Linked DNA regions of Oryzias latipes. The protein of the gene in region 1 purifies or fractionates together with the protein of each later gene. This does not show direct contact. Links are inferred from orthologs where the notes say so. Each region holds a gene or a part of one and is shown on either strand. Other genes may lie near its edges. The genes, in order: NACHT, LRR and PYD domains-containing protein 12; nek7; usp50; sqstm1.

What was found.
Region 2: the proteins of NACHT, LRR and PYD domains-containing protein 12 (region 1) and nek7 purify together in Homo sapiens (affinity purification with western blotting; 9 studies listed by BioGRID and IntAct, with this or other methods). This does not show direct contact. The link is inferred for Oryzias latipes from reciprocal best matches to the Homo sapiens genes NLRP3 and NEK7.
Region 3: the proteins of NACHT, LRR and PYD domains-containing protein 12 (region 1) and usp50 purify together in Homo sapiens (affinity purification with western blotting; 3 studies listed by BioGRID). This does not show direct contact. The link is inferred for Oryzias latipes from reciprocal best matches to the Homo sapiens genes NLRP3 and USP50.
Region 4: the proteins of NACHT, LRR and PYD domains-containing protein 12 (region 1) and sqstm1 purify together in Homo sapiens (affinity purification with western blotting; 3 studies listed by BioGRID). This does not show direct contact. The link is inferred for Oryzias latipes from reciprocal best matches to the Homo sapiens genes NLRP3 and SQSTM1.

What each region holds. Positions count from the first base shown.
Region 1 is NC_019866.2:2,346,492-2,353,578, reverse strand, and holds the start of NACHT, LRR and PYD domains-containing protein 12, read left to right. Parts: upstream 1-2,990; 5' UTR 2,991-3,279; intron 3,280-3,874; 5' UTR 3,875-3,893; coding exon 3,894-3,988; intron 3,989-4,212; coding exon 4,213-4,323; intron 4,324-5,052; coding exon 5,053-5,163; intron 5,164-5,472; coding exon 5,473-5,672; intron 5,673-5,770; coding exon 5,771-7,087. UniProt on the Homo sapiens protein: Sensor component of the NLRP3 inflammasome, which mediates inflammasome activation in response to defects in membrane integrity, leading to secretion of inflammatory cytokines IL1B and IL18 and pyroptosis.
Region 2 is NC_019862.2:14,418,584-14,425,844, forward strand, and holds the start of nek7 (serine/threonine-protein kinase Nek7), read left to right. Parts: upstream 1-3,406; 5' UTR 3,407-3,695; intron 3,696-7,261. UniProt on the Homo sapiens protein: Protein kinase which plays an important role in mitotic cell cycle progression. Required for microtubule nucleation activity of the centrosome, robust mitotic spindle formation and cytokinesis.
Region 3 is NC_019861.2:13,655,887-13,663,157, reverse strand, and holds usp50 (inactive ubiquitin carboxyl-terminal hydrolase 50), read right to left. Parts: upstream 4,447-7,271; 5' UTR 4,330-4,446; coding exon 4,091-4,329; intron 4,020-4,090; coding exon 3,824-4,019; intron 3,757-3,823; coding exon 3,541-3,756; intron 3,430-3,540; coding exon 3,287-3,429; intron 1,888-3,286; coding exon 1,758-1,887; intron 1,110-1,757; coding exon 921-1,109; 3' UTR 577-920; downstream 1-576. UniProt on the Homo sapiens protein: Deubiquitinating enzyme that removes conjugated ubiquitin from specific proteins to regulate different cellular processes. Regulates the inflammasome signaling pathway by deubiquitinating 'Lys-63'-linked polyubiquitination of the PYCARD/ASC adapter protein.
Region 4 is NC_019868.2:3,815,677-3,823,039, reverse strand, and holds sqstm1 (sequestosome-1), read left to right. Parts: upstream 1-3,378; coding exon 3,379-3,547; intron 3,548-3,984; coding exon 3,985-4,080; intron 4,081-4,173; coding exon 4,174-4,442; intron 4,443-4,568; coding exon 4,569-4,713; intron 4,714-4,785; coding exon 4,786-4,854; intron 4,855-4,923; coding exon 4,924-5,060; intron 5,061-5,134; coding exon 5,135-5,399; intron 5,400-5,474; coding exon 5,475-5,635; 3' UTR 5,636-5,749; downstream 5,750-7,363. Other genes in the region: mrnip (MRN complex-interacting protein), read right to left, coding at 5,919-6,128. UniProt on the Homo sapiens protein: Molecular adapter required for selective macroautophagy (aggrephagy) by acting as a bridge between polyubiquitinated proteins and autophagosomes.

The DNA.
Region 1 (7,087 bases):
GTGTCCCCACTTGGCATCACCCATCTGTTTACGCATTCCCCTACTAGCTTACAGCCCCTAACAACCCCAACCTAACATTAGTGGTTGTTGGTCTGAGGATGTCAGAAACTGCTCATCTACTGGAATTTTCACCCACGACCATCTCTAGGGTTTACAGAGAATGGTCTGAAAAAGAGAGAATATCAAGTGAGCATCAGTTCTGTGAGCGGGAATGCCTTGTTGAGGTCAGGGGAAAATTTCCAGCCGATAGAGACAACAGGAACTGAAAGAACCACTGGTTCCAACCGAGGTTTGCAGAAGAGCATCTCTGAACACAAAACACGTCCAACCTGGAGGCAGATGGACTGCAGCAACAGAAGACCACACCGGGTACCACTGCTGTCAGCTAACAGGAAACTGAGGCTGCAATTCACACAGACTCACCAAAACTGGACCATAGAATATGGATAAACATTGTCAGGTCTGAGTCTCCATTTCTGCTGCCACATTCGGATGGTAAGGTCAGAATTTGGCATCAACAACATGAAAGCATGGATCCATCTTCCTTGTATTAATGGTTCAGGCTGGTGGTGGTGGTGTCATGGTGTGGGGGATTTTTTCTTGGTACACCTTAGTACCAATTGATCATGTTACATCACTGCATCCTACCCGAGTATTGTTGCTGACCATGTCCATCCCTTTCTGACCACAGTGTACCATTTTCTAATGGCTACTTCCAGCAGGACAGGGCTCCATGTCATAAAGCTGGAATCATCTCAGACTGGTTTCTAGAACATGACAATGAGTTCTCTGGACTCAAATGGCCTCCACACTCACCAGATCTCAACCCAATAGAGAACCTATGGGATGTGTTGGAACGGCAGATTGGCATCATGGATGTGCGGCCGACAAATCTGCAGCAACTGTGTGATGTTGTCATGTCAATATGGACCAATGTGGAATGTTTCCAGAACCTTGTTGAATTTATTCCACCAAGGATTAAAACAGTTCTGAAGGCAAAAGCGGGTCCAACCCGGTACTGACAAGGACCTACCCCCTACTGGCCCCTCCACTCCATCCTACAAGCCCCCCCCCCCCCCCCCCCCTCTCACCCTCACCCGCAAAGCCATCAGGATTGCAAGGGACCCCTCACACCCATCCCAGAGACACTTCAACCTGCTGCCAGGAGGCTGCAAAGTCTGCAGGCCAGAACCAGCAGACTAAAAGACAGTTTCCTCCATCAGGCAATAAGGACACTCAACTCCCTCCCTGCCCTCCCCCCTCTGGCCCCTCCACTCCATCCTACAAGCTCACATTGAAAACTTCACACCATTTCAGAACACCATCATCACCAAAGACTGCCATCAATGACTCATCCACTTACTGTTCTCAGCACTGATGTCACTTTAAACTGCCACTTCAACCATGCCACTGTTCTTTAGCACTGTTTAGACTACTGTTATTCCTCTTACTATTACTATTACTGTCTTTTTATCTATTTTTTACGTCGTTTATTTATTATTTTATATGCTGCTTGCACTGTGGGGTGAGAGAAAATCAATTTCATCTGTGCTGTATGTCTTATGGATGCAGCATACTTGACAATAAAGCTGACTTTGACTTTCAGTCTATCTGCCTTGGTGGATCAGTGGGTGTTAACATGTTTTAATGTTTTGAGAAGGTGTGAGATTAAACATTTTTTTATTACAATTTAAAATTTATCCCTTTATTTTCCATCAATTTGACAAAATACACCAACCTAAGACAGTGGAAAAAGTAGAATAATCCTCAAGCACCAAGGATGCGCTTTCTCACATGTCTGTATTATTACAATTCTCCACCAGAGGGCACCACAATGTAGTTTTCGCTTGTTTGTCCTCATCGGCCCCCTCAGACCCTGCGTACAAATAGTTGTATTCTGTTGAGACTTCGGGAAAATTGATGACGTTACAATATAATTGTAAATAAATATAAATATTTCCCAATTTATTATATATGATATGATATTATTAGTTTTCATGAAGGGAAATTAATGAAATTTACCAAATATAATTTTTTTGTGCCACTTCTATTTTCAAAAATTTTGAGTCAATGTTTATTACAATTGATTCTAAATGTTTTTGTACCAGTTCCACCATAGATGGCTAATTGTTTCTGCGCAGGTCGCCCTCATTTTGCCTTCAGGGGCAAATGACTGGTTTTCTCTGCATCATCTGCAGCCTCTGTGGCGCGGGAAGGTCCATGTAGAGCTGGGAATAGGATTAACAATTTTAACGTATCTTATCATCTGTTGATTAGCAGGATGAATTCTATGCAGAAGTTATTTTTATTTTTTAACTTTATTGTAAACGTCAATCTCAGTACAAAACAATTACATATAAATGATATAAAATAAAACAAAAAAAAAAATAAAGTAGGAAAAAACTACAAAAGCACACAGAGTATGGAGGATTGATAAAACATTGCAGAATTGACAGTTGAAATAATTATATGTTGGGAGCAAATTTAAAGACATTTTATAACTTTTGGGTTATTTGAAAAATTAACTAATTCAGTATAATTTGACTTCCACAAGGACATTTGTTAAAAAGTAAAATGGCATATTGTTATGTTGGTGGAAGACAAACAATTTCCAAATTTAAAAAAAGGAGAGAGCAAATTAGTAACAAAAGAAAATGGCCAAAAAGATTGAGTAAAGGGGGCAATGCCAAGACAGATGATTATTTCAATATTGGGTTTACATTTTATTAAATGGGTTTTGGCAGGGTGAATCTATGTAAACTTGATATGTCTTTTTTCTCATTGGAAATAGAATTAGGTAAAAAGCAGGTCTTTTTCCAAGATAGTGTTTCCAATACGTGTCAAAGTTACCCTGTTTTTTCTGAAATACCGCTCTAATGTCTCTGTTCTTTGCAAAAGTTAATATTATTCAGATGAGGAGGAGAAATGCGTCACCAGTCCGCCTGGAAGGAGTCCGGTCTGCAGCGCCCCCTGCAGGCCACCGAAACCGAAAGTTTCCGGAGGTGTTTGCGCACAGAACTCAGTCGCAGTTGATGACGATCCGGAAAAAGAAAGTTGGAAGCAACAGCGGGTCGAGGATTCGGTCCGGATCTACATGGACCTTCCCGCGCCACAGAGGCTGCAGATGATGCAGAGAAAACCTGTCATTTGCCCCTGAAGGTAAAATGAGGGCGACCTGCGCAGTCATTGTCACCTGATACCTGCGCAGGGAGGGAAGCGACTGGAGGCTGCAGAGCAGAGGCCTCAATGACGGGGGGAGAAATAGGAACTTCGGCTTATGTGAGTATGCAGGTCAAGAGTTTATTAGTGTCTTTGATTTTCCAAGATAAGAAAATTAAATAACTTTTTTTTTATATGACAGTAATAATTAATATAATAATCCAACTACTGTGTCAATATTATCAAGTCTTGTCTGCACAGGAACTTTACAGCTCCAGACATGCGCACAAGAAAACTTTGTGAACAGGTAGAAACAGGCAAATTACAGCTTTGGACTGACGTGACGCACATTCTTCAGACAGGAGTGAAGGAGAGTCTCAGAGGAAATTACTGATCGGACTGTTAATGATTGTGATTGATTGAGAAATGATCAATCAGGAAGTTACAGTCAGAGGTCACGTGGGTTTCTTATCAGGGAAGGAGAAAGCCGCTTTAAATTAGACAGTGGAACAAATAGTGTTTATTAGAAAATATGTGCAGTATTTTGTCAGAAGAGCAATTCCTCAAACGGATCTCGAACTGTTGTTTGACTCTGTGAATATTTGATTGACTGCCATAGAGATTAAGAAACAAACATCCATCAATAAAATCTGTGATTGGCGGGATGTGAGTCACACCAGCTGTTAAAGATTGGGTTTATTTTTTATGGCTTCAGGTTCAGGTTATGACTGAGGATGAGTGGTTCAAGGAGGAAGAGGAAGAGGGACACATCAGAGATTCCACCATCTCGCAGTTTGCCCCGATCCAAACCTGAACCCTCACAATCAAAGTAAGACGCTTACTAAAAAAAAGGGAGATCTTTGAACAGAAGGAGGAAAAGATGATCAAAAACAGTTTGTTTTCCTGTAAGAAACCTTCTGCAATCTGCCTAATGATCACATTGTCTTTTTAGTCTGAAAACTATCCCTTCAAGTGAAACTCCATCACATTCATGCAGAGAAATGCCCTCTTTTACCCAGGTTTTACCCTGTAATCTTCTGTTTTTATTTGCAGACATCCACAGAAACTTTGTTCTTCATCATCCAGCTCTCTGTCCCTAAAGAGTGACTGGTCCAAAGAGGAAAACCCGCATTTCAGTGCTGAACCTGAACCATCACCCTCAAAGTGAGACTTTTTTTTTGTGAGACAAAATAGGAAATACTTTTTTTTTTTTTTACCAAGCGAGATCTTTGTGCAAAGGAGGAAAAGATGAACTTAAAACAGTTATTTTCCTATAAAAAGCCTTCTATATTCCTACAACCTGGTGTGTTATGTTGGTTCTCAGGTCATCATCCCCACTGTAGTTCTCTTAATGAGTGGTATCTATGTTTACAGTGGAAGTTCTCCTCACCTTGCTGAACTGGTTATTCAGGGAATCTCACAGGTGTTTTTTAGAGAGGAAAACTGATGAATTGACGGCACGCTGCGCCGTTTAAAAGAAAAAACAACACCTTGAACCTTTATCCAATTGGTATAGTCCTAAAGAGGGGTGTTCCTGTTGTTTCGGAGGTCTGCTTTTATTCATAAAGCACATTAATTGTGGTTCCTTTAAGCAGTTCGAGCGCTAAGGTGATTCTGTACATGATTTAGGACTAAAGCTTAAAATTACAGAATTCTGTGATTTTTTTTTTTTTTTGTGTGGAAAGTTTATATGATTCAGAATATTTTTTTGTAATCCTAAATTACAATTAAGGGTGATAAATTCTAGGATTTTATCTATTTAAGATGCCTAATTAAGGATCGCACGATCTTTTTATTTTGAGGAATGTTCTTTACTTGGAACGCCATCACATCAATGCAGAAAATTCTTTTTATGACCTGCAGACGGCTGTGATCTTCTGTTTTTATTTACAGACATCCACAGAAACCCGATTCTTCATCGTCCAGCTCTCTGTCCCTGAAGAGTGACTGGTCCAAAGAGGAAAACCCGAATTTCAGTGCCGAACCGGGTCGCCCAAATTCAAAGTAAGAGGCCGTTTCATCCAAGATTATCAGATTAGCTTTATCAGAGGTTTCATGTCTGCTTTACTGTAGCTGAATGTGAACAGGAAAGCCCTGATTATCAACACAGATTTTCAAAGATGCCTTTCAGTGAGATAGAAAGACTAAATGTTTTTAAGGAGATGCAGAAAACCTGTCATTGTAAAACCTTTCTGTCAGGATGTGTAATCTAGGGAATAGTTATGAACTTGTTGTGGATGTCTGGAGTCTTGATCTGACTTCCTTTCTTGATCTCTGTCAGCTTCTGTTTGAGCTGTTTCCTCCTGTTCACAGACAGAGAGATTCTTCTGGGGAGAGGAAGCCCTCCAGCTGTTGGTTTTGTCTGAACGTCCTGGAGGAGCCGGTCTGCAGCAGCTGTGGACACGGCTTGTGCAGACAGTGCATCGCCTCCAACCAGGCCGCTCCATCCAGAGCCTCCTCCTGTTCACGATGTGAAAGAAGATCCAGAGCGGAAGCTGGACCGCAGACAGCCGGTCAGAGCAGAAGAACTCAGAGTAAAACCTTTGTGACGTGGGTTTGGACCAAAATGAGACCATTTTCTGTCTCTCTGCTTCTGTTTTTCCCCTCGTAGAAGGTTTTCGTCTCCAGAAGCAGTTTTTTAAACATCGGGTCAGACAGAGGAAGAGAAGCGAGCATGTGGCTGAAGGAAGTGAAGAAGAAGCAGCAGGAGGAGGAGGAGGAATGCTTCTCAACGACATCTACACTGAGCTTTACATCACTGAGGGGCTGAGGGACAAGGTGCACACCCAACACGAGGTGAGGCAGCTGGAGACGGCCTCCAAGAACAAAGAAACACGCAAGGCTTCAATCAGGTGCCACGACATCTTCAAAGCTTTCCAGAACCAGGATGGACCCGTCCGAGTGGTTCTGACGAGCGGCATTGCTGGCATTGGAAAAACCTTCCTGGTGCAGAAGTTCACTCTGGACTGGGCCGAGGGTCTGGAGAACCAAGACGTCATTTCTGTGGTTCCTCTTTCCCTCAGGGAGCTAAACTTGGTCAGAGATGAGCAGTACAGTCTTCACAGTCTGATCCAGCTTTTCCATCCAGCGTTCCAGAAGATCCCAGCAGAGCAGCTGGATGTCAATAAACTTCTGTTCATCTTTGATGGCCTGGATGAAAGCAGACTTTCTCTGGACTTCCACAACAGTCAGGTGGTGTCTGATGTCACCCAGAAGTCCTCAGTCAGCGTTCTTCTGACAAACCTCATCCAGGGACGTCTGCTTCCCTCAGCTCTGGTCTGGATCACTTCCAGACCTGCAGCAGCCCACCAGATCCCTGAAAAACTCGTGGATCGGCTGACAGAAGTGATCGGCTTCGATGATTCTCAGAAGGAGGAGTACTTCAGGAAGAGGTTCAGCGACGAAGAGCAGTTCAGCAGAATCATCTCCCACATCCAGAGCTCCAGGAGCCTTCACGTCATGTGCAGAGTCCCAATCTTCTGCTGGATCACTGCTACGGTTCTGGAGCACATGTTGACCACAGAAGATAGAGGAGAGGTGCCAACGACTCTGACTGACATGTACTCGCAGTTCCTGATGGTCCAGACAAAGAGGAAGAAGAAGTACCAACAGGGATGCGAGACGTGTCCACAGGAAGTGACAGAGGCTGACAGGGAAGTCCTCCTGAAGCTGGGGAAGCTGGCGTTTAAACATCTGGAGAAGGGGAACATCATGTTCTACCAAGAAGACCTGCAGCAGTGTGGTCTGGATGTGACGGAGGCCCTGTTACATTCAGGGGTTTGTACTGAGATCTTCAGAAGAGAGTGCATGATCTTCCAAAGACCTGTTTACTCCTTTGTGCATCTGAGCGTCCAGGAGTTTCTGGCTGCGGTCTACATGTTCTACTGCTTCACAATCAAGAACACAGAGGTGCTCGAGAACTTCCTGG
Region 2 (7,261 bases), on another chromosome or scaffold:
ACATTTTAAAATGAGCAGGAAATTCCTCCTACTGCCTCTAGTGGAATGGTAATCTACTGTACTACAGGGCAAAAAACATGGACCAAGTAATATTAATAATAGGATTTTAAATGAAGGTTTGGATCATGCTATTGAGATAAGGGTATCAGAAATGTATATCAGTTATGACACAAATGGTCATATAAGGATAATAATGATCTTTATGGTGGGTCAACACTGGCTCCAATGGACAAGCACAGAGAAGCAGTGATTAGTAAATATAAATTTAGCAGATGATGTTTTTTTTATAATGTTAATGAGTTCTTACATCATTGGAGAAGAACTTCAAACCCTCAGATTGTTGAGGTTTGTGTTTATTAATGCAGAACCTGAGCTGGACTTTAACAGTACTGTTGCAAGAACTTGGCACTTTTCATTTTAAGTCATTTTCTAGAAGATTCACAGATTTGTGTGGATCATCGCCTGTTTGTTTTTCTTTTTAAATCATTGACCTTAGGATTAATACCATATTATTTATAGGTGCAGGATTTGGAGTTCACACTTTTCAAGAGCTTCCTGGACCATTTTTATGCTTTCATCTTTTAGATGAAGAAGAAAAAGAAAAGATGTCAACAGATACTGTAAAGGTTAAAGTACTCTGAAGTTGACATCATTTAAGAGTGACTAAAAAGGAGCAAAAACTGTACTTTTAAATGATGAAACAAAAATGTTTTTTGTGAGTTGGAAACTTAAAGGTCAATGTGGAAAATATTAATCCAAATTGCATCTGTTACAGTATGAACTATTTTACAGTATGCTATAGGAGGTGAATATAAATGAATAAATATTGAGTCATACATGCAAGTTTTATTGCAACATAGTGCTCTGCCCTCTGCATGACATTTTCTGCAGAATCCTCAATATTTTAGATTGCAATTCTATTTCTAAAACTTTTTTGTAGACAAAACTCTATAGAAAACAGCTTACGCTGAAATAAGAGGCAAATACTTCATTCCAGGAAAGAGAAACATTAATTTTGTGAAGCTAAAATTATGATAAAGAGGAATGACAAACAATTAACCAACAAAAATAATGAGTCAAACATCCATCCACTTTTCTGATCCACTATGTCCCTTTTAGGGTCACAGGGTTGCTGGACCCTGTCCTGGTAACTGTTAGACAAAGAATGTGAACAGTAAATAAAGTATTTCATATTTTAAAACTTGGGCTGTTTCTGAATGAGCATTCATTTTTATAACAACACCAATAAAAGAAAATTTAAAATAGCTTTATTTTTCCATCCATCCATTCATCTTCCTCCGTTTATCCGGTACCGGGTCGCGGGGGCAGCAGGCTGAGCAGAGATGCCCAGACTTCCTTCGCCCAGGCCACTTTCTCCAGCTCCTCTGGGGGTACCCCGAGGCGTTCCCAGGCCCGCCTGGGTCTTCCCCGGGGCCTCTGCCCAGTGGGACATGCCCGGAACACCTCTCCAGGGAGGAGCCCAGGAGGCATCCGGACTAGATGCCCGAGCCCCCTCTTTATTTTTGTTTTATTGTATTATTTAAAAAAATGCAAGAATCTTATTTTTAATCTTTAACTATTATTTATTATGCAAGGGGCAGATTCCGATAAGGTGTCCGTTATCAAAATGATAAAATGGCATGGAAGTCTGATTGCGTCAGATGGTTGCTTCCACAAAGTCCATTCATTTCTGATAGTCTCTGATAGTACTCTCCGAAGGAAGGGCATTCTACCGCTTATACCATGATCACTTATGAAAGAAATAAATATTAAATCAATTATTAGTACTTCAGTCTTGTTATTTTCTCTTCTCTTTTTCTCTTCTGCTGCATCCCAGTTTTCAAATTTATCACACTAACCAAACATGTTAGAGGAAACTATAAAATTACTCATGTCTGTACTACTGTCTTACTGTTGTGATAAACTGCATAATAAGGTGTGTCAACCTATGTATTATGGTATTGTAACGACTTTAATCCTTGATCAGACTCTGGAGACGCAGAGGCAGGTTTATTTTTTTGTAAGCATGTGAAAAATATATATAACAAAAAAGACTCATTTTTGAGGCTTGAAACTCATACAATGATTAATGTTAAATTATGCGGTCAACAAAAAATACTAGGACCTGCCCACCCCCTCCATACACAAAACTACAAAAAAACAACCTGCAGGTGCACTATATCTTCTATATCTACTAAATCCACCCCTGATCATGTGACACGTGACAATAATGGCAGTTATAGGTATTAATAAGAAGTCTGTGGTCAATATTTTTGGGATTGCTCAGAAAAGAGTTCCTACTTTTTTATGTGTTAAATTAGAGAACTCTAGACTTGGTGTTTTGTTTTTATTTAATTTTTTTCTTTATTGTTCAGGGTTAAAAAAATACCCCTCGGTAGTTTAAAAGTTAAGCTTGGACGTTGTTTATAATAAGAAAACTTAATAAAGCCACTTTTTAATAATAATAATAATAATACATTTTATTTATAAGGCGCCTTTCTGGGCACTCAAGGTCGTCGCACAGCATGTATACAGTATAAAATACAATAAGCTGTTAAAACAACAACAACAATTTAAATAAATACACAATTAAATAAAATATATATAAAAACATGAAAAGGTCAATGTTAAAGTGAATAGGCCATTTGGAAAAGATGAGTTTTTAGCTTTGATTTGAAATGTGGGAGTGTGTCAGTGTTGCGGAGGTCAGGGGGGAGTGAGTTCCAAAGCCGGGGAGCAGAGCAACTGAATGCCCGGCTCCCCATGGTGACAAGACGGGCAGAAGGGACAGAAAACTGGATAGAGGAAGAGGAGCGGAGGCAGCGAGCAGGTATGGAGATATGAAGTTCAAATCTCCATATGGCCTCCTTCATAATGAAGGAGGCCATATGGAGATATGGAGGTGCAAGGTTGTGAAAGGCTTTGATTAATGCGTAGAGCAGGATTTTGTATTGAATGCGGAATGGCCGGGATGGGGAGCCAGTGAAGCTGTTTTTATAATGTATTTTGATTTTTTACTGCACTACATTGTCAGGAATTTAAATGAATATACCTAAAAATTAGTTTTTTACAGCAATTTTTAGGCTAGATTAAAAATAGATGATGATTACATGTGATTACTATTAAATTGCTAAAAAAAAAGTTATTCGTATGAAAGCACAAGTATCAGAACAAAATGGTACATGAGGTCTAGACTTGGAGGTCTTAAGATGCAACATCAGATTTGTAAAAAAAAAACAACCAAATTGTTGTATTATTTAAATGTGGAAAGAGCGTAACACCTACATATTAGCAATAGCAATTATAGGATTGATTGAAGAAACCAACAAATAAATAAACTAAGCATAGTTCTTAAATCTCGCGGTATTTGACATCTTCCCTCCTCTGGGCTTCGGGAATGCTGGGTTGTTTACATTGCTGACTCTCGGGTCACAAGTATGAGCCGTGTGGTGGTGAGGGGCCTTCCACACAAGTGTCTGCCTGAAATCACGTCTCGACTGACTTCGTAGCACACGCGCTCCATGTGAGGAGACGGAGCATAAAACCAAGTGCGACTTGCCACACAAGACCCACCTTTTGGTTCCGACCTTGGGAAGAAAGAAAAAGTCATCCAACAGTAGTAGCGTCCTGAGTGACCATAGAAAACTCGTAGCGTGAAGGAGGGATAGCTTAGCAACTGAGAGTCCGACTTCCTGGTGAGTACAGTCTAGAGCTGACAGTAATAAAACTTGGCCAAACTAGTAAACATTTGTTTGAGAGTTGTTAATTCTTTTGTTATACTTGTAAAAAAACAATATTGTTGATAAAACCCACAAGTGTCAGTGTGTCTTTTATTAAAGTCTGGATTGGGTCCTTAAAAAAAGTTTCCTTGAAGTTTGCTAGCTAGCTTAGCTTGTTAGCTGATTAGCACACCGCTTTGCTAACTTTGAAATAAACAACTGCCTCTGTCGGTGAGTGCTTACACTCTGCACGGTCTCCGCCACAAATTGATTGGTGTTTTGATGCAAGTATATGTCTAACACATGTATTTCATTGCACCCTACAACAAACAACGGAGCCAAATCTGAAATGGAACCATTACAGTACAGTGTCCGCTTATTTCGACAGATGTGTGTTGATGTAGCTTTACTCTCAGTCGTTCGAAGGAAGAACATTATTTGATTTATTTGGACGTACGGTTTGTTAAATAATTGATCAACCCCTCTTTTATCTCTCTCACATACAATAAAACAATTGAAGATGTCTGATTAATTCTATAAACAAAACCTCAGTACAGTCTGACTATCTTCATCTTTGGGAACTAATTGCCTACTAAGCAATTTCAATGTTCATTTTTAATGAGATAATAAGGAAAATTAATTTGAATGCTTGGTGTCAATTTGCCTATCAAATTAAATCAGAACTTGTGACTGGAAATCACATTCATTCAGTGTTTTGGCAGTGAGAACAAGCACTAGTTAATTGTAAATCTCTGGATAAGGAGATAAAGCGAAAAGAAAAGAAAACAAAAAGGTTGCTTTTTGGCAGCTTTTGAGATGTGTTTGGATGATAAGATATCTTAGATCGTAAGAATATATACAGTCAGGACCATAAATATTTGGACAGAGAGACATTCTAATTTAGTTTCTGTACATTACCACAGTGAATTTTAAATAAAACAACTCAGATGTCATTGAAGTGCAGACTTTCAGCTTTTATTCCATGGGTTGAACAACAAGATTGCATAAAAATGTGATAAACTAAAGCATTTTTTTAACACAATCCATTCATTTCATGGGCTCGTAAGTAAGTGGACAAATGAAATGACTGAAAACAAAATGGTCATTACTGATATTTGGTTGAAAACCCTTTGTTGGTAATGACAGCCTGAAGTCTTGAACTCCTGGACATCACCAGATGCTGGGTTTTCTCCTTCTGAATGCTCTGCCAGGCCTTTACTGCAGCGGCTTTCAGTTGCTGTTTGTTTGTGGGCCTTTCTGTCTGAAGTTTAGTCTTCAACAAGTGAAATGCTGCTCAATTGGGTTAAGATCAGGTGACAGACTTGGCCATTCAAGAATATTCCACTTCTTTGCTTGAATGAACTCCTGAGTTGCTTTGGCTGCATGTTTTGGGTCGTTGTCCATCTGTATTATGAAACGCCGCCCAATCAGTTTTTATATATATATATATATATATATATATATATATATATATATATAATTTTTTTTCTTTGTGAATGGATTTATTTAATTTGTATTATATGAATCGAAGCATTAAAACGAGTACCGGTTGTTACACTTCTAGTATAAAAACTCTTAGCATTAACAAAACTCCGTAACTAATTTCTAGATTTTTGTTATCTTCAGCAGAAATAAATTGTTTTAAACCATATTCAAATGTCTTTTGTATTATTCAATTTGTATATTTTAGGTAAAAAGCTAGAGAATTACTCATCATAGAAAAAGTTCACGTTGGGTCATATTTAGACTTGGAGCCGTTTCCCATGGTGCTGTTACTGCCCCTCTCAGCCAAATATTTCAGGCGTCATACTTTTGCACTTGGCTATGCTACAGAGGGATGATTCAGACAAGTGTTAGTGGGAGCTGACATACCTTGTTGACCCAATTATTACTCACTTCTGTGTTGCCACATTTGATCATCATCAGAGACAACAGGCCTCAGTCTGTGAGCATCATCAGGTGATTGAGATGAACACTGGCTGGCCCTGTGAAGTTGATAGTCAAGGAATGTGTCATGAGCGGGATAAGCAGAAACGGATGGCAAATGTTTGTGTCAGCCTCTGTGATGAAGGATTTCTGCCAGTACATCTCCCCTTGAGTTTCAGTGATGGGAGGTGGATTACTTTTGACAGGCTTTGAAAATACTAAATGATTTAACTCTTTTTTTTTTTTGTATTTTTTGTGCTGCTTGGATCTAAGTGGGATGAACAGAAAAGTGGTCCGGTAGAGCAGTAACCCTTAAAAACAAAATAAAGACAGTTATTATTGTTTATATATACAATGTTTCCATATTTTTTTAATGTGCACTTTACCAATGCAAATATTATTTTACTCAATTTTGAAAAAGTCTTTTTTTTTTCTTTCATTTTTTTTTTGCTAAATTCTGCTGGGTTAGTGATTTTATTCTATTGAGGCATTGACAATAAGGGCTAAAGTGCCATTTATATGCCAAAGAAATATATTGCATTTAGAGCAGCAAAACAGTCAGTCTTGCGAGTTTTTATTTGAGCCCTGGAGCTGGCCCTTAAAGGAATAAAGATCAGATGAGACATTTGTCATCTGACCACTTTAACAGTCATCTTGCCTTTGGGTTTCTAGAAAGAACAAAACATTGTTTGCTTTTTTTCGCATTTTTTTTATTTTACAACGCATATTTGAAAGGAGATGTTTCCCTAGGCTTTTTGAGCTACATTTAACACTGTCTTTTGCATGATGTCAAAGCCCTTGCCCAAGTGTGCAGAAACAATCCTGACAAAGGTAGTAGATCACTACATAGGCCAGTCTGGTATAAAGGCTTTGAGGCTGCTTGGTTCATTATAATACAAGTTTTAAAAAAAACAGAGGAAATTATGTGGATTAGTCAAGTAGATTCTTAATTCCCTGGCAGAGTTATGAATTTAATCTTTTCTTCTCCGGTTCAGGGTGGTTAGAGTTTAGACTAAGGTCTCTAGCAATGAGTGTGGGTTGTCTAAATGGCTTTTTGCACTCTTCTCTAGCAACCAGCCTGTCAATATTTTCCATATCCACCTCCCCTCTATCATATGAAGGGTCACTGATGCTTCTTTCAGTAAAATATCCTCGGATAATGCCTCGTGGCTCCTTATGTCATATGAGAGTTGTTAATTTGACTGTGCATTGATGCTTTTCTTTGAAGGGCACAATAGCAGTCTTATGGGGGGAAAAGATTACGGAAATGCACAAAAACAAAAATGCTGACCTCGGACCTGCTTTAGAGATGATGAAGTTCTCTCAGTATCCAGTGTCGGGTTATGTCACGATAACATTGTGTAGTTTATTTCAAAGCAAAGAAAATTAAATTGTCTTTTTTCTTTTTTGGCTCCATATACTTGCTACAAAATGTTTTTTTTATTGAAATCAAAATAAATTTATAAAAGTAATTGAACAATTATCATTAAAGTAAACATTCCATCTAAAATAAAATACCCTTTAAGTAGATAATCAAAGATGAGAGGCTACAAAGAGCAAAAACAACGAGCTTTATCCTCGTATTGTTGGAGCTAAAAGCCTCAAACCGTTTAACA
Region 3 (7,271 bases), on another chromosome or scaffold:
GGGAGGTAGCGGCTTAACGTCAACACTCGGAAGGACTTGACTTGCCTTCTAGTGTTTGGGTGAGATAGACGAAGGCTTCAAAGTTCCTTTTTCAGCTTTGATTATTACTGTTCATAATAACCACATTCATGCACTTCTTACACATTATGCAATCATCATAAATTGTTCGTGTAGAACAGATTAAGGGCGTATTTTAACACAAAACGATTACAATTGTTTCTTTTTTTCCCCCCAGCTTTTGCCTAAATAAACTCTACCAGCTTCTATAAATTTTGTTTTCCACATTATTTTCCGCTACCATTGATTTAAAAAATAAATAAATAAAATAAAAATATTCAACAGAAAGAAATGTCCTGGAAAATGAATGTTTACTGTTGTTAAACAGTTGTTTTTTTCTGGACATTTTCTTCTGTAAAAGTTGTACTGCTAATTTTTGCTTTCTGTTCATTAATGAGGAAGAAGTGAAATATTTCCCCTTTTTTTGTTTTTTTGACATTTTGCTTCTTGACTGACCAAGCAAGCGAAGTGAGAGAGCACAAAGTGAGCCGATGGTTTTTGAATACACCAAGAATTCTCTTTTTTTCTTTTTTCCCCCTATGCTAGAGTTTTGAGGCTTTGCATGATATATGAATGACCTGGACTTCTTTTCACTTTTGTGTTTATTCAAATTTTCTAAAGGTCTATATATAATTAGTTTCATATATAACTATGATATTAACCCCAAGCAAATCATGATAATTTATTAAAACGGCTTCAAATGAAGATTGTGTCTGAATATTATTTAATTTTGTGGTTTTGATGCAGCAGGTGAGCAGTTGTATTGCAACCCAAAAGACCAGCAGGTTCTAGATTATTTCTTTCCTGGAAGGTAAGAAGGACTCTGCACGACGAGCAGGATTCTGACAGGAAACTGGCAGAACTTACAGGCCGGCGATTCGCGGCCTGTGGAAAGGCTTGTGGCTGTAGAACAGCAGGTAGGCGTTTGGAGATTGCACACGGTCCTCTTGAACCTCACAGACTGCAGCGTCATCAAAACAATGCCACGTCTGAGCCAGGCTGTTGTAGCACAGAGCTGTGTAGTGACCCATGTTCAGGTGACCTGTATGGTTCTGTAGAAGAAAAGGAGTTTGTTTCTATGAGGATGAAGATAACACCCTGAAATAAAAAAACTAGTTCCTTTTTGTTTTCTTGGTCAATATTGTAGCAACAAATGAAAGGAGAGACATCAAGAGAAAAAAACTCAAACTAAATCAATGCAAAACACTAAGTTTGCCATGATCAGAAAATCCCAGAGCCCTGTATTCTCAGCCAATCGTTTTGTTTTCTTTAATTCACGATTATTTTTCTTTTTAATACTATGAAAATTCTATTTGTTTAGTGTGTACACAAAATAAAAGAAAGTAAATAATTATCTTTCTGAAATAAGGTGGGTTTTTCATCAGTGTATGCCCTGTTTATGTTATTGTTTTCCATCTCCAAAAATGTTATTTTGGAAAAATTATCCAGAAGTGTTTTAAGATATTAGACCCACAGCAGAAAAAAACACCAGAGCAGAATCATTTTTACATTATTTTTTTGTTCCCCTTCAGATTTTATTAATTTTTTTCATTTTAGACCAGATTCTGCCTCATTGTCATGTTCAAAAATAATGTCAGGGTAAACTCTATTTTTGCCTTTTATGATTTAGTCGTCTTTTTTTTTTTTAAGTCAAGACGTGACGTTCTTATTCTGACAAATGCGTGTGAGTTTTTACCCACCACAACAGCATACAGGTGGTAAGATGATTCATTCGGCACCAGGCCTGACAGAAACTGGGAGAGGTCGAGCTTCATGAAGAAAAGAACGTTTGTTCTCAGTTTCACCTGACTCTTCCCTTTGGATCCAAACCTGCAGACAAGATGGAAGAGGGGATTTCTGATGTTCATCCAAAACTGCTTAGCTCCTGCTGTCTCATGAATAACTCAACACAAGTGCCTCACAACAAATACATGTGTTACTCTAGTTACTCAACTGAGTAACTTATTTGAGTCTTATTTAAACTCTTGGGCTCCATGGTGGCGCAGTAGTTCAGTTCTTGCTTCACAGCCAGAAGGCCCAGGTTTGAATCCCGGCTGGAGCCTCTCTGTGTGGAGTTGGCATGCTCACCCCGATTATGTGTGAGTTTTCTCCGAGCACTCCAGCTTCTTCCCACAGACCAAAAACATGCTTCACAGGCTTATTGGTTACTCTAAGTTGTCCATAGGTATGCGTGTTGGAGTGGTTGTGTGCCCTGCAACGTAATGGCGACCTGTCAGAATGTAACCCGCCTTTCACCCATGCAGCCCCGTGACTCCAAACGAGGTAGTGGGTAATGAAAATTGATGGATTTGAACTCTCACCTATGGCATCCATGAAGTACACCTAATCTGTGACTCTCAACATTTAAAAAAATTACAGAGGTCACATTTATACTTTTTTTTAAAACAAAAGTTATTCAAATGAATAAATTTCAAACATACAAATTTAAAATCGCATTTTTTCAATTGTCATGGCAATTTTGTTGGCCACCATCCTTTTCCCTACCAACCACTGATAAACGTAATATAAACATGACTTCTCAACCAGTAACTGTAACTGATGTCCAATTTAGAAAAGCATATAAAGTACTGTTATCTACAAATATATCTTTAGCACTTCTCTTCTGGACCGCAACTAAAACTTGTGCAACATACAATAATATGTGCTTTAAACCTATTCTAATGACAAAGCTTACAGAAAAGGAAACTCTTACCAATCTTTTGCACAAAATTTGAAATCTCTGCATTCTGGAGAAATGCCGGGAACATGAGGCCTATTGATTTAGTCTGACGTAGGCAGGAGTGTAAAATAACTTACTGTTCTTAGCCCTGACCTTAAAAAAACCCAACCAAATCAATGCTTACTAGTAGCCCTTAAATATTTCTTTAGTGAGCCATGATGAAGGGGTACAACAAATTAGCTCTGGAGTCTCAGTTTGCCGCCTTGTGCTTGACCCAAACAGGTTTGCGTTTTTACATTGACAGTGGTTGTAAAAGAGACATGATGCTGTTTAACCCTTGTGCTATCCTAGGCACTTTAACATTGGGAGTTGGGTCATCTAGACCCACTAGACAGTGCTCTGAACCTTTTTTCTTCAATGATTTGTGATCTTCACTGGTGTCCATGGATTACATGAAATCTTTCCACCTTTATCCACCTTTGTCATGGTGGGAATAACACGTCAATGTCAGGGTGGGGTCATTTAAGATAGCACAAGGGTTAAACACACCGTTTCAAATGCAGCACGAGGATCTCTGGAGTTCTGTCCACACACGTGACGATGGCTGTTTCCCTTTTCAGCCCGCACACTGAGCACATGGCCTGCTCCCCCCCAGTGAGGACAGTCTGCTTGAAGAACAGTGCCAAACAGTCCTGCACAAACACACAAAGAAGATCAACTGAGACCACTGTGTTCTTGCTGGAGGGGGAGGGGGGGGGGTTATCAGGAAGCACTGAATGCTTCTTTTGTTGTTCAAGCAATACCTGAATGGAGCACTTGATGTTACCCTTTGGAACTGGCAATGAGAGTACAGTGAAGGCTTGGGTGTTATGTGCTTGGTGATGGCAGTGCATGCAGATGCACATGTAGCTTAGCTGGCCCTCAAACAAACGTGTGACAAGGTTTGAATGGGGCGAGCAGCCCTTGATCTGTTCCATTCTCGCCGGCTGTGATGAGAAGAGCGCCTGCCGCTGTGCTGCCTTTAACACCAGAAACACCGTCAGTCTGAGCACACAAAGTAGAGCGCCCAAACATGTTTAAGAGCACCTTGTTGAAGTCGTCGTGAAGCGTGTTGAGGAGAAGGAGCAGCAGCTCCTGTGCGTCTTGCTGGGAGTCGTTGTTGAACTGGGGGAGGACGGAGCACAGCGCTGACCTGACCTCCAAAGGGCTACAGCTGGAGCCACTTCCCATCCACATTTTCTCCAGCAGGTGCACAAACACTTCAGAGACCCTGCACTTAGACCTTCATAAACACAAAACACTGAGAAATTGCGATGGTATACATCTGAGTTATTCAAGATAAAGTGGTGGTACCTTGCAAGTCCTTTCCGTGTGTCCCAGTGAAGAAGTTGTTCCACGAGGGGCACAGTGGCACACAGACACTGCAGCACAGCATTCAGGTAGCAAGAGTTGCCAGAGTTTTCTAGGCCACACACTCCTGGTCTCCTGCACTTTTTCTGGAATCTCAGCAGTAAGCTGGAGCTGGGATTCTCCATTGCTGTGGCAACACTTTTTGTACTTGTCCTGCAAAGATAAAACAGTAAATACAGCATACACAGAAACTAATTCTACATGGAGGATCCCAGATTTACCATTACTGCTGGATTAAAGCATCATCAGCTATTTTAAAAGCTTGATCCTGCTGATGAGGAAGATGCAGTGATGCTAAACAGGATTCAGCTGAATCTCAGCTTCATTATCTCCACAGATCAAATTATCCAAAAATGGAAAGTGGCTTGTTTTTGCTTTTCTTTTAACTGTTGAAGCTTTCATTGGTGCAGCAACGTCACACAGACTCACCCTGCTTTGCAGAGGTGTGTTGAGCCAGTCTCCTGGTAAGAGCAGCTATTCAGCCGCGGCAGAACCGGAACGCTGATGTTGTGGTCGGCAGTCAGCTGTGAGGCCAGAGCTTGGCTGAACTCCGTCAGCTGGATGTGCCTGCCTGAAAGCTGCAGGCGTTGTAGTGTGTGGAGCACATACGTATTGATGCAGACTGTGTGCAATGTGACCCAGAGGCCTGGAAGAAATACATCCATAGAAGATCCTGTTGGGTCTGAATGGGGAACCAGACAAGGGCCGGTCCATCCCTGCAGGTGGGAGGAAAATGTGGACTCTGGGTCCTTAGATGATAGATGCTGAGGTGAGATTGGCAGAGATGCAGATGATGTCAGGTTCCTCACCTCCTTTTGAGACGTTGGGACAAAGTGAACATTCATATTTACTCCTGAGAGGATGTTTTGGAGTTTGCCCTCCATCCAGGCCGAGGAATCAATCTGCACCACCCGTTTCTGGCTGCAGAAAGGTGCCAGCAGGTACCTGATGACCTGCTCAACCACAGGCTTCCTGCTCTGTTTCTGGAGCTGCTGCTGACTGTACAGGAACATGTTGCAGATGAATCCAGAGCTTGTGTCGGCGAGGAGAGCCAGTTGGAGAGAGCACTGACCCTGCTGGTGGTATAGTCTGTATTTTGTCACAGTCAGGTTCGGGCCGTGACAGTGCAGAACCTGATAGCGTCTGAATATGTGGCTGCAGAAAGCAGACAAGGCTTCCAACTTGTTTTCATCTTCCAATCCGGTCAGAGACAAAATTTTGTTCTGGATGCTGTTTCTCTTCAGAAGACCCTGTAATTTGTCCAACTTCTGGGTTAGCTCAGGGCTGAACCTGGAGTTCTCTCCAACACACAAACCACTCTGTAGAACTATAGAAAACCACATCAGTGCCTCAGCGTACTCCTCAGAGAGGACACTGCTCTGCTCTCTGCTGTGTGACAGCCGCTGACCTCCAGCCTTCACTCCAGGAGCTCTCCTCATCAACTCCCAGATGGCTTCTCTGTCCAGAACCTCTAGAAAAAGCTCTCTGGCAGTATGGTAAACCTGATATGTTGGGGTAACTGGAGTCTTCTTTCTACGTGGCTTCACTTTTCTAGACCTGTAAATATTTGGCAAACAAAGTCTGTCGGTCTCCACAGCTCCATCCAGCTCCTCCACTAGATGGCACTCCTCTGTTGTCCAGGTGCACTCCTTCACAGTTATGGAGCTGGCCTTCATTTCAGCCCCTGTCCCTGCATTACAAAGAAACCATGACAGTTTGGTTTCTTCAAATGCAACAATATTTGAGCTCAATTAGAACTTAGAAAAAGAAAAATGTGGGATCCACGTGTTACCTGAAACTCTCCAGCATCCCGTTAAGTTTGATGGTAAAGCTGAGCAGAGACTGAATGCAGCTCAGGTAAGTTGCATCCTCTTTCCTGGGAGTGTACTGTACGTACGTGGATGCATGATGAAGCAAACACACACACTCATGAGAATCTACTGTTAACTTCAATCACCAGGGATCAGCAGTAGCCAGACAACACAGCCCTGACGACGAACAAACAGCCACCTGAAACTGTAGTCATGTCACGTCATGTTTCGGCTGGATGTTGAGCAAATGAGCTGGAACCTGAAGAACGTCCATGCCTCGCTTCAGGTGGTCTTCCAACATGTTTTGGACCTTTGCATGAAATATTTTCTAGCCTTAATGTACATGTATGAAAATATCTGCAATGCAAGCATTTACCAGCAGTAGAAAAAAACTGTAATAAAACAAACATTTCCCAAACAAACTTGCAGGTTTAAGAACAGCAAAGCCTAAAGCCTTCTGGGTTTTAAAGCCAAACTTTGTATGGAAATGCACCAGAAAAACCTTCAATTTCTGCAAACTCATCTCCATGAACAGAATCTTTGTTAGAAGGAGGATTTTAGCAAATCCAATCTAAAAGTCAGACGTTTTTAAGAAGATTGTCACAGATAACTCACAGCTAGTGTTTGCACAGGTGGTTTGGCAGAGATTTTCTTTACACCAGGCCCTGTACTTCATCTGGGTTGAGGACTGTCACAGGGAGACCCAGACTTTTGGCTACATTGTTAGGTTGTATAACACGAAGATGTCTGGCCAAAGGACCCACAATGGATGAAGCTCATCGCGCCCCCTGGGAATCAAACCCTGGTTTCTCCTGCGCCAGTCCTGCACGCAGCCAACTGAGCCGTCCAGCTGCTCACAGGCAATTAAAACCTCAAAATTGGTTCCTAAAACAGGAAATACTTTCTGCCTTTGACAATTTGCAAAGTCCTACTAGAAAGTAAAATCAGCATTTGAATAAAGAGAATGAGTGGAACAATGTTAAAGGGTTTCAATCGTCCCTCTTAGGCAGCCGAGCTGACCCATGACCTGATCAAACAGAGTGGACTGACACAAACAGATCACAATGGCTCTAAAAACCACCATCCATCATCAGAACCTGCTGTATTCCTTTCAGGGTCAAGGGGCCGAAAGTGGAACAAACCCTGAACAGGTTGCCAGTCTGATGCAGAGCAACACACTCCCACCTAGGGACAGTTTTAGAGAAATCAATAACCTATGAAGCATGTTTTTGGACTGTGGGAGGAAGCCAAAGTGCCCAAAGAAAACCCAGGCATCCACAAGGACAACATGCAAACTCCACACAAAAAGTCCC
Region 4 (7,363 bases), on another chromosome or scaffold:
ACCAGAATCTTGGGTGGATAAGTCAAACAATTTTTATCTCCAAGTGTAAAATTAGGAGACTTTTTCTGCCTTTTGGATTATTCAGCTATTAAGCTTTAATTTTCAAGTTCATTCTATCAACTAAAACAATTTTAAATGTTTTCTATAGGAAATTATTCCCACAGGAAACAGCATATAGGCTATCCAGCAAAGCATTGGTATATACTTCATAATATTTAATGAAGTATAAACATTATGTTAATTGTATGAATTGAGAGTATTGTATGTTTTTCTGATGTCACTTTTTTTGGCGATGTGGATAAAACTGAAATGACGTTTCATGAGTTTTTAGTGTTGGAGCTTCAAGTAAAAATGCTCGGTATTGAAATGAACCTTTTTTTGCCAGAATCCAGTGAATTTCTTTCCTTCTTTCATTTTAACCCTGAGGTCAATCCGTGGCTGCAGTCCGGACTCGTCTGTTCAGTCAAATATGGTCAAAAATGCTCATTTTAGAGCCACAATTTATTATTTTTCCCCCATTCATTTTGAGTCAAAGGTCTGTACTATAAAATAAAGATAAACTCAAGGTGAGCCAAGCTGTGCTCCCGCGTTGATTGGATTTGGTGACCCCCCCCCCCCCATGTATTTATTTATCTTTATCAGCACAGTTTGATTTAATCAGAATCAGATCAGAATCGTTTATTGTCATTGTACATGGGGATACAATGAAATTGCAGCAGCCTTGGAGTGAAGGAGTTGCATAAAATAAAAATAAAAAATAGAATGGAAATAGAAATACTGTATTTACAACTCTTAACAAAAAATGAACAATATGTACAGAAACTGTTAAATATTAAATATTTGTGGATAAAATAGACCTTTGTGGATAAAATAAATTTCAATCGATTCAAATAGATTGTCTGTTGTTGGTATAAGCCTGATTTCATCAGAACTAAGAAAGAAGGTTGTTGTTCCGGCTCATCAAGAGCAAGAAATCACAATCCCAGCTCCAAAATGTCACTGCCAATAATAAACCATACAGGAGCAGATAGAGAAAAACTCTGCTCAGGTCTGGTGGGGATTTTCTATCCAGAGTTAAAGAATATATTAGAACTGTATCCCAGCCGGAGACAGTAACACGGACTTTCAGTTCACACAAAGGTGAGAGGATTTCATTATTTGCACAGATTCACAGCTCGCTGAACAGACTTTTTCACAGAAGTTCAACAATCAAGCAGAAATGAGGATTTGCAGCAACAGATAAGAGTGAATTGAAAGAGCAGAGACAGGGGAAGCTGGGGGCAGATGTAAAAGAGGAGCAGAGAGGAGGTGCAGAGATGGAGACCAAAAAGAGGAGCTCAGAAAAGACGGTTAATGTCTTCCTGCTGTCTATTGTCAACAAATGCTGCGATTGGTGCTTTTGTATCTGCGTGTTCCTCTGATTGGATGGTGGGTCTTCCTGTGTGATTAGCTGTGGAAATCTCCTTTATTGAGATGAAATGTCACAATATATCTTAGTTAATCACAACAGACCGTTCTGTCTGGTGTAGCTGCAGCACTGTCAGTGTTACCTCCTTGTGTGTCATCATCAACAACAGGCATCAGACTGAGGATGAGAACTGATACAAGCAGAGATTTGGTGGACTGGTTACAGCTTTGGAGAAAAGCTCTGAAGTGTCTGCATTGAATGTCAACAGTGATCTAGACAGAACAAAGACGAGATCACACCCACCCTAACAAAGAAACAGGAAGTCAGACTCTTCTTAAGATAAGAAACAGGTGAAAGTCAGACTCTTTGATCGTCACACTCTTCATCTGTGAAACTGTGGGAGCTTCAGATAAACGGAAGGTTTTGGGTTCCAGGTCACTAAGGTTCCAGGCTGCAGTCCTGCAGAGGTGAGCCTCTCTCAGGTCTTCAGGGTTGATGTGGTTTCTCAGGGAACCACCTTCCATGACTTCACGGTTTTTTCCTCAGTGGTCATTGAACTGGTTTTACTGACTTCATGTGACTGTGAGTCATTGTCAGCTGATTGGCTCAGGACGGTGGGTGACATCACCACAAAGGCGTGCATGAAGGCAGAGTACACAAACACACAACAGTACACACAACTGAACAAAGCATGCAAATTCCCCATGTTGGTGAATTAATCATTAAGATTTGAAGAGAAGACCTAAAGGTGGACAGAATATCAGGAGATTTCCTCATAAACATTGACTATGAATTTATCATTACTGGTAGTTTACAGATGTAATCCATTTACTACACTTCTGAAAATTGTTTTTCTTTTTTTCCCTCTGAATAGGAAAAATAACTGAAGAATTTTAGACATCAACTCCCTCTCAGTGATCCAGGACAAATAATGGTAGACATGAAAAATGCTTACAGTTAACTAATCATGAGTATTTACTAGAATACAATATATTAGTCTTCATGCAGCTATTTTAACCTTCCATTAGGTCTCTTTGGCTTTAAACAAAAAACCCTGATGATTTCAATAAACAATGGCGTTGTAGTTTTGGTTTATTTATTTAAGTAAAGTTGTATCTTAGGTTTAGATTGTTCACTTGTCTTCGATGTTATAAGGCCTGATTATTTATTATTATTTTCTTGTGACAAACTTTTTTCCTTTTGACTTGGAAGTAATCTCTAAAACAATAATAATTTTAAAGAATAAATATTACATTATAACATTAACAAGAATAACATAAAAATGTAGGCTCCTCCTTGAACAGCTGAGAAAAAATGAATTACAAATTTCAAAAACATATAACGTTTTTTTTCTCCAAAAGAAAAAATCTAATGAAGTTTAACTGTTTTAAGGAAAAAAATTCCAATGTTAAATGAATTATTTATTTAAAATAACTGACATTTTATGGTTAGTTACTAATTTCTCTTTAATGAACTTCCATAGTTTTAAATTGAAAAGATTAAATTTTTTCCCTTGTTTAGTCTGAAACACTAAAAGTACTGAAGCAGTCTAGAACTTTCCTACTAATTCTAGAAGGATCCATTCCGATGGGCCACAGGTTTGATAAACACAGGAGGACGTCTCTAGGCGATTCATCGTTTCCGTGTTTTCATGGCCGCAGTCTGCCTTCTCACGGTGACTCCGCGATGTGTGTGAACTGTCTGCTGGGATCCTGATCACGTGACACACAAGACGGCCTCTGATTGGACCTCTGGAACCGGCGTTCCTTTTACACGGACCAATCCGCGGCTGCGCAACTGTTAACAGAATCACGTCACCTGCGGAAGTAAACATAAAAGAGGCTGAAATTTATCGCTGCGTCACAAACTGGGATTTTTCTTGGACTGTTCAAGTGACGGTTTTGCGTCTGTGTCTCGGTCCTGCTCCCGGTGTCAGAACTTTGTGGTTCGGAGTCCACAGCAGCAGCAGCATGTCTGTGACGGTGAAGGCTTACCTTCTGGGGAAGGACGAGCATGTGAAGGAGATCCGCCGCTTCGCGGTGGACCAGGACGTGTCCTGCAACTTCGAATATCTCAGCAAGAAAACCGCGGCGGTCTTCTCCAACCTGATGAACTCCTCCTTCAACCTCTTCTACAAAGGTGAGCCGCATGGGCCGGGTCAGACAGAGCCGGGATCCGCTGGGTCTGATCGGAACCGTCATACTCACTAACCTGGAACCGAACTTTTTGTCAATACTTTATTAAACAGCCGCAGTAACGCGGAAGACCAACTTAGAGAAACATTCGAGTATATAGAAGGACTGTAGACATTTGAATCTGTACAAACATAATCCGCCCACTGACTTATTTAAGAAACAGCTAATTTAAAGGGATTGCTGTCACGTGACGCATGTAGCCACGCCCACAAATTTCTGTCCTTTGATTTGTGCGCAATTGAAAATATTCAGTTGATCAGGAGGCCCGAAGTTTAGACCCCCCCCCCCCCCCCACACCCACACACAAACACAGGCGGAGTAGGTGGGACCTTATGACGTAGAGGGGAGGAGCTTCAGGTGTGATTCCGGTTTATATTTCAGATGAGGATGGAGATTTGGTGGCCTTTTCTTCTGATGATGAGCTGATGATGGGCCTGGGCTGCGTGAAGGACTCCACCTTCCGCCTCTACATCAAAGGTAAATGCACGGCCTCCTGTGTGAGATCAGAGTGACCTCCCAGCAGTCCTCCCTCACGGTTTTTTTTTTTTTTTTCTTCCTGAACTCTGACAGAGAAGAAGGAGCACCGCCGTGATTTCCCACTGCATGCCCTACCCCCTTTCATGTTTGGACACCCACCACCCCATGGCCCCCCTCATGCTCCACATCACGGCCCTCCCCCCGCCCTGCACCCTAACGTCACCTGTGACGGCTGTGAAGGGCCGGTTGTGGGAATGCGGTTCAAGTGCTCCGTTTGTCCCGACTACGACCTTTGCTCCACCTGCCAGGCTCAAGGGAAGCACACTGAGCACGCTTTGCTGCCCATCTGGCACCCCCTGCAGGTGAGTTACTCCATCTAACCATCTAATCGTCTTTCCACTTCTGTCTGGACATCGTGCTGATTTAAAAGAAAGGACTTTTTGGTCAAAGCCAAAATGCACTGACTGAACCAGAAACTGTGTCTGCAGTGGTTTCCCCGTGGAAAGTGGATGAAGAGAATGAGACACTGCATGTGGAACCAGAACCAGAATCAAAACCAAAACCCAGAGCAGCAGGAACAGCAGGACCAGCCAAGGCCATCAGCATCTTCGGGTGACGGTGGAGAACCATCAGGTGAGAGAAACTCAAAAAACGTTTGAGCCTAGGGCATTAACATGCTCCCACCTTAACCTCTGACCTCTGCAGCTTCCCAGGCTAGTGTGGACTTCCTGAAGAACATTGGGGAGGGGGTTGCCGCCATGTTGAGCCCCCTGGGTGAGTGTACATAGTGGAGTTGCTGTTTTTGGGGGACAGGCAGGAAGTGATGTCATGATTTCCATGCAGGAATCGACGTGGACATTGATGTTGAGCATGACGGGCAGAGGTCGAAGGTGAATCCACCCACTCAGGCTGGAGGGGGGGATGACAATGTGGCAATGGATGTAAACGAAGGGGAGTCTGCAACTGCTGAGAGGTCAAAGGTCAGTCTGTGTTCACTGATCAATGACTGAAATGAACGTGTCAACAACTGACCCTCGTCCCCACGTACACGCAGGCAAGCCGGGACTCTGACGAGGAGTGGACTCACCTGAGCTCCAAAGAGGTGGACCCGTCCACGGGGGAGCTGCAATCCTTAGACCCCAAGAACCACGAGTGCGAGCTGCCGTCGGGAGGGCAGCAGGGGCCCCCGTCGGGAGGGCAGCAGCCGTCGGTAGGGCAGCAGGGGCCCCCGTCGGGAGGGAAGCAGGGGCCCCCGTCGGGAGGGCAGCAGGGGCCAACAGGTCTGCGGGAGGCTGCGCTGTACCCCCACCTGCCTCAAGGTGAGTCTAGTTCTCACAAGTATCATTTGCTATGACTGTTGCCCTCTTGTAAGCTCCTCCCTCTGCCCCCCACAGAGGCGGACCCCCACTTGGTGGAGTCTCTGGCTCAGATGCTGTCGATGGGCTTCACTGATGAGGGGGGCTGGCTCACCAGACTCCTCCAGGCCAAAAACTTTGACATTGGAGCGGCTCTGGACGCCATCCAGTACGCCAAGCAGCCCCGCCCACCACAGTGACCGCACCAGCTGCTTTATTTAACCTGAGTTTCTATCTGTTCAACTGTTAATCAACTCCTTAACCTGTTTCTGTCTTTTATTAATCTGTTTCTGAACAATAAAAACATGAAGGAATCCGAGTGGGTGGAGTCTTGATACACACCTGTACTGCCAAGTGCACAGCAGGCTGCTTTTGAGAACCAAAACAGTCCAAATGAAACACTAAATGTAATTTTATATCACCTGTTTCCACGGCAACACCTCCACCAGCAGCACACTTGAACCAGACTACACATAGGAGCTGCTAGAAGTCAATACTGAAGTCTTCCTCAGTTTCGAACAGGGAGGAAACACTGAGTCCTGGGTGGGGCATGTTGGGGGCTTGACTCCGCCCACAAGCTGGAGGCTCCTCCTCTTGGATTTCGGAATCAGATTTGAGAGAGCAGGCTGAGCTAAAGGCGCGGGGATGGAAGTGAGCTTCATCAGCAGAACGTCTCATTGCTGGACCAATCAGCTGCAGATAAAGAACACAGTAGTGAAAGTTGGATGACAGAAACACCAGAACCTGAAGAGAGAACTGTTTCACTCAAAGTGACCACGTGCTAAACAGCAGCCTGATCTCTCATATTGAAAGAAAAATTCTCATTCAACAACAATCCATGAACTTTCCTTGAACTAAAAAAGGTATTTGACACAAACCCCAATATTTTCCTTGAACTCAAATATAGCATTGGAGGGAAAGCTCTTCAACGGCCAACAACTCATGTAAACGACAGTATCTACAAATAAGATCAAATCACAATTTTGGAATAGAACTTGTGGAGTAGCTCAATGGTCTGTTCTAGGACCAGTTCTTCAGTCTGTATATACATAACATTGCTAACACATCCAAAAGGTTCAAACGTATCTTCTTCTTGATACTTGGCAACAGAGACACAAACCCAAATATAATTTATTTGAATGGATGGAATTAAAACTGACCGAGTGAAGAATGTGAAATTTCTGGGAGTCATCATTGAGGGCATTACTTGGCGTTTCATAAAGTTAAGTCAGCTCTTGATAACAAAGCACCGTTTTTACGGTTTAACTCAGTTTCTTCCATTTCTAAACTACTGCATTGAAATTTAGGGAAACAGGCTAATTTGTATTCTACAAAAAAGGCAATAACGTTTATTATCACTGGCAGTAATTACACACATCTATATAATCCATTATTCAGTGAATAAAAAATATTACAATATAAAAGGTTTTTCAAATGTATATATAAAGAAGAATTGTCTGCCATATATGAACAAAGATTTAAAAAAGACAAAAGTAAATATAGTTTAAAAAGGTCGTCAGATTTTCTCTTTGCCAACATTCAGAACAAAGACAAAGGAAAGATGTGTTTCAGTTCAAGCATAAAAGAATTTAAAACAATCAGTTGAAGAAAACAAAGCACAAACTACCTTCAAAAAAACCTGTAAAAAAAGAATTGCTTCAAAAGTAACATTGTTCCTAATGCCAGACACACAAATTCAGAAAGAAGACACACACTTGCCAGTGTCCGTTATTCCAAACTGAAGGCTTTGATGTAAAGCACAGGCACACCTAAATGCAATACTGCAGAAATGCATGTATATGGCTATCACCAAAATAGTAGGAATTTCTATATAAAATGTCAAACCACAAGAAATATACACTGAATAGCCACTTTATTAGGTACACCTTGCTAGTACTGCCTTGGACCCCCTTTTGCCTTCAGAACTG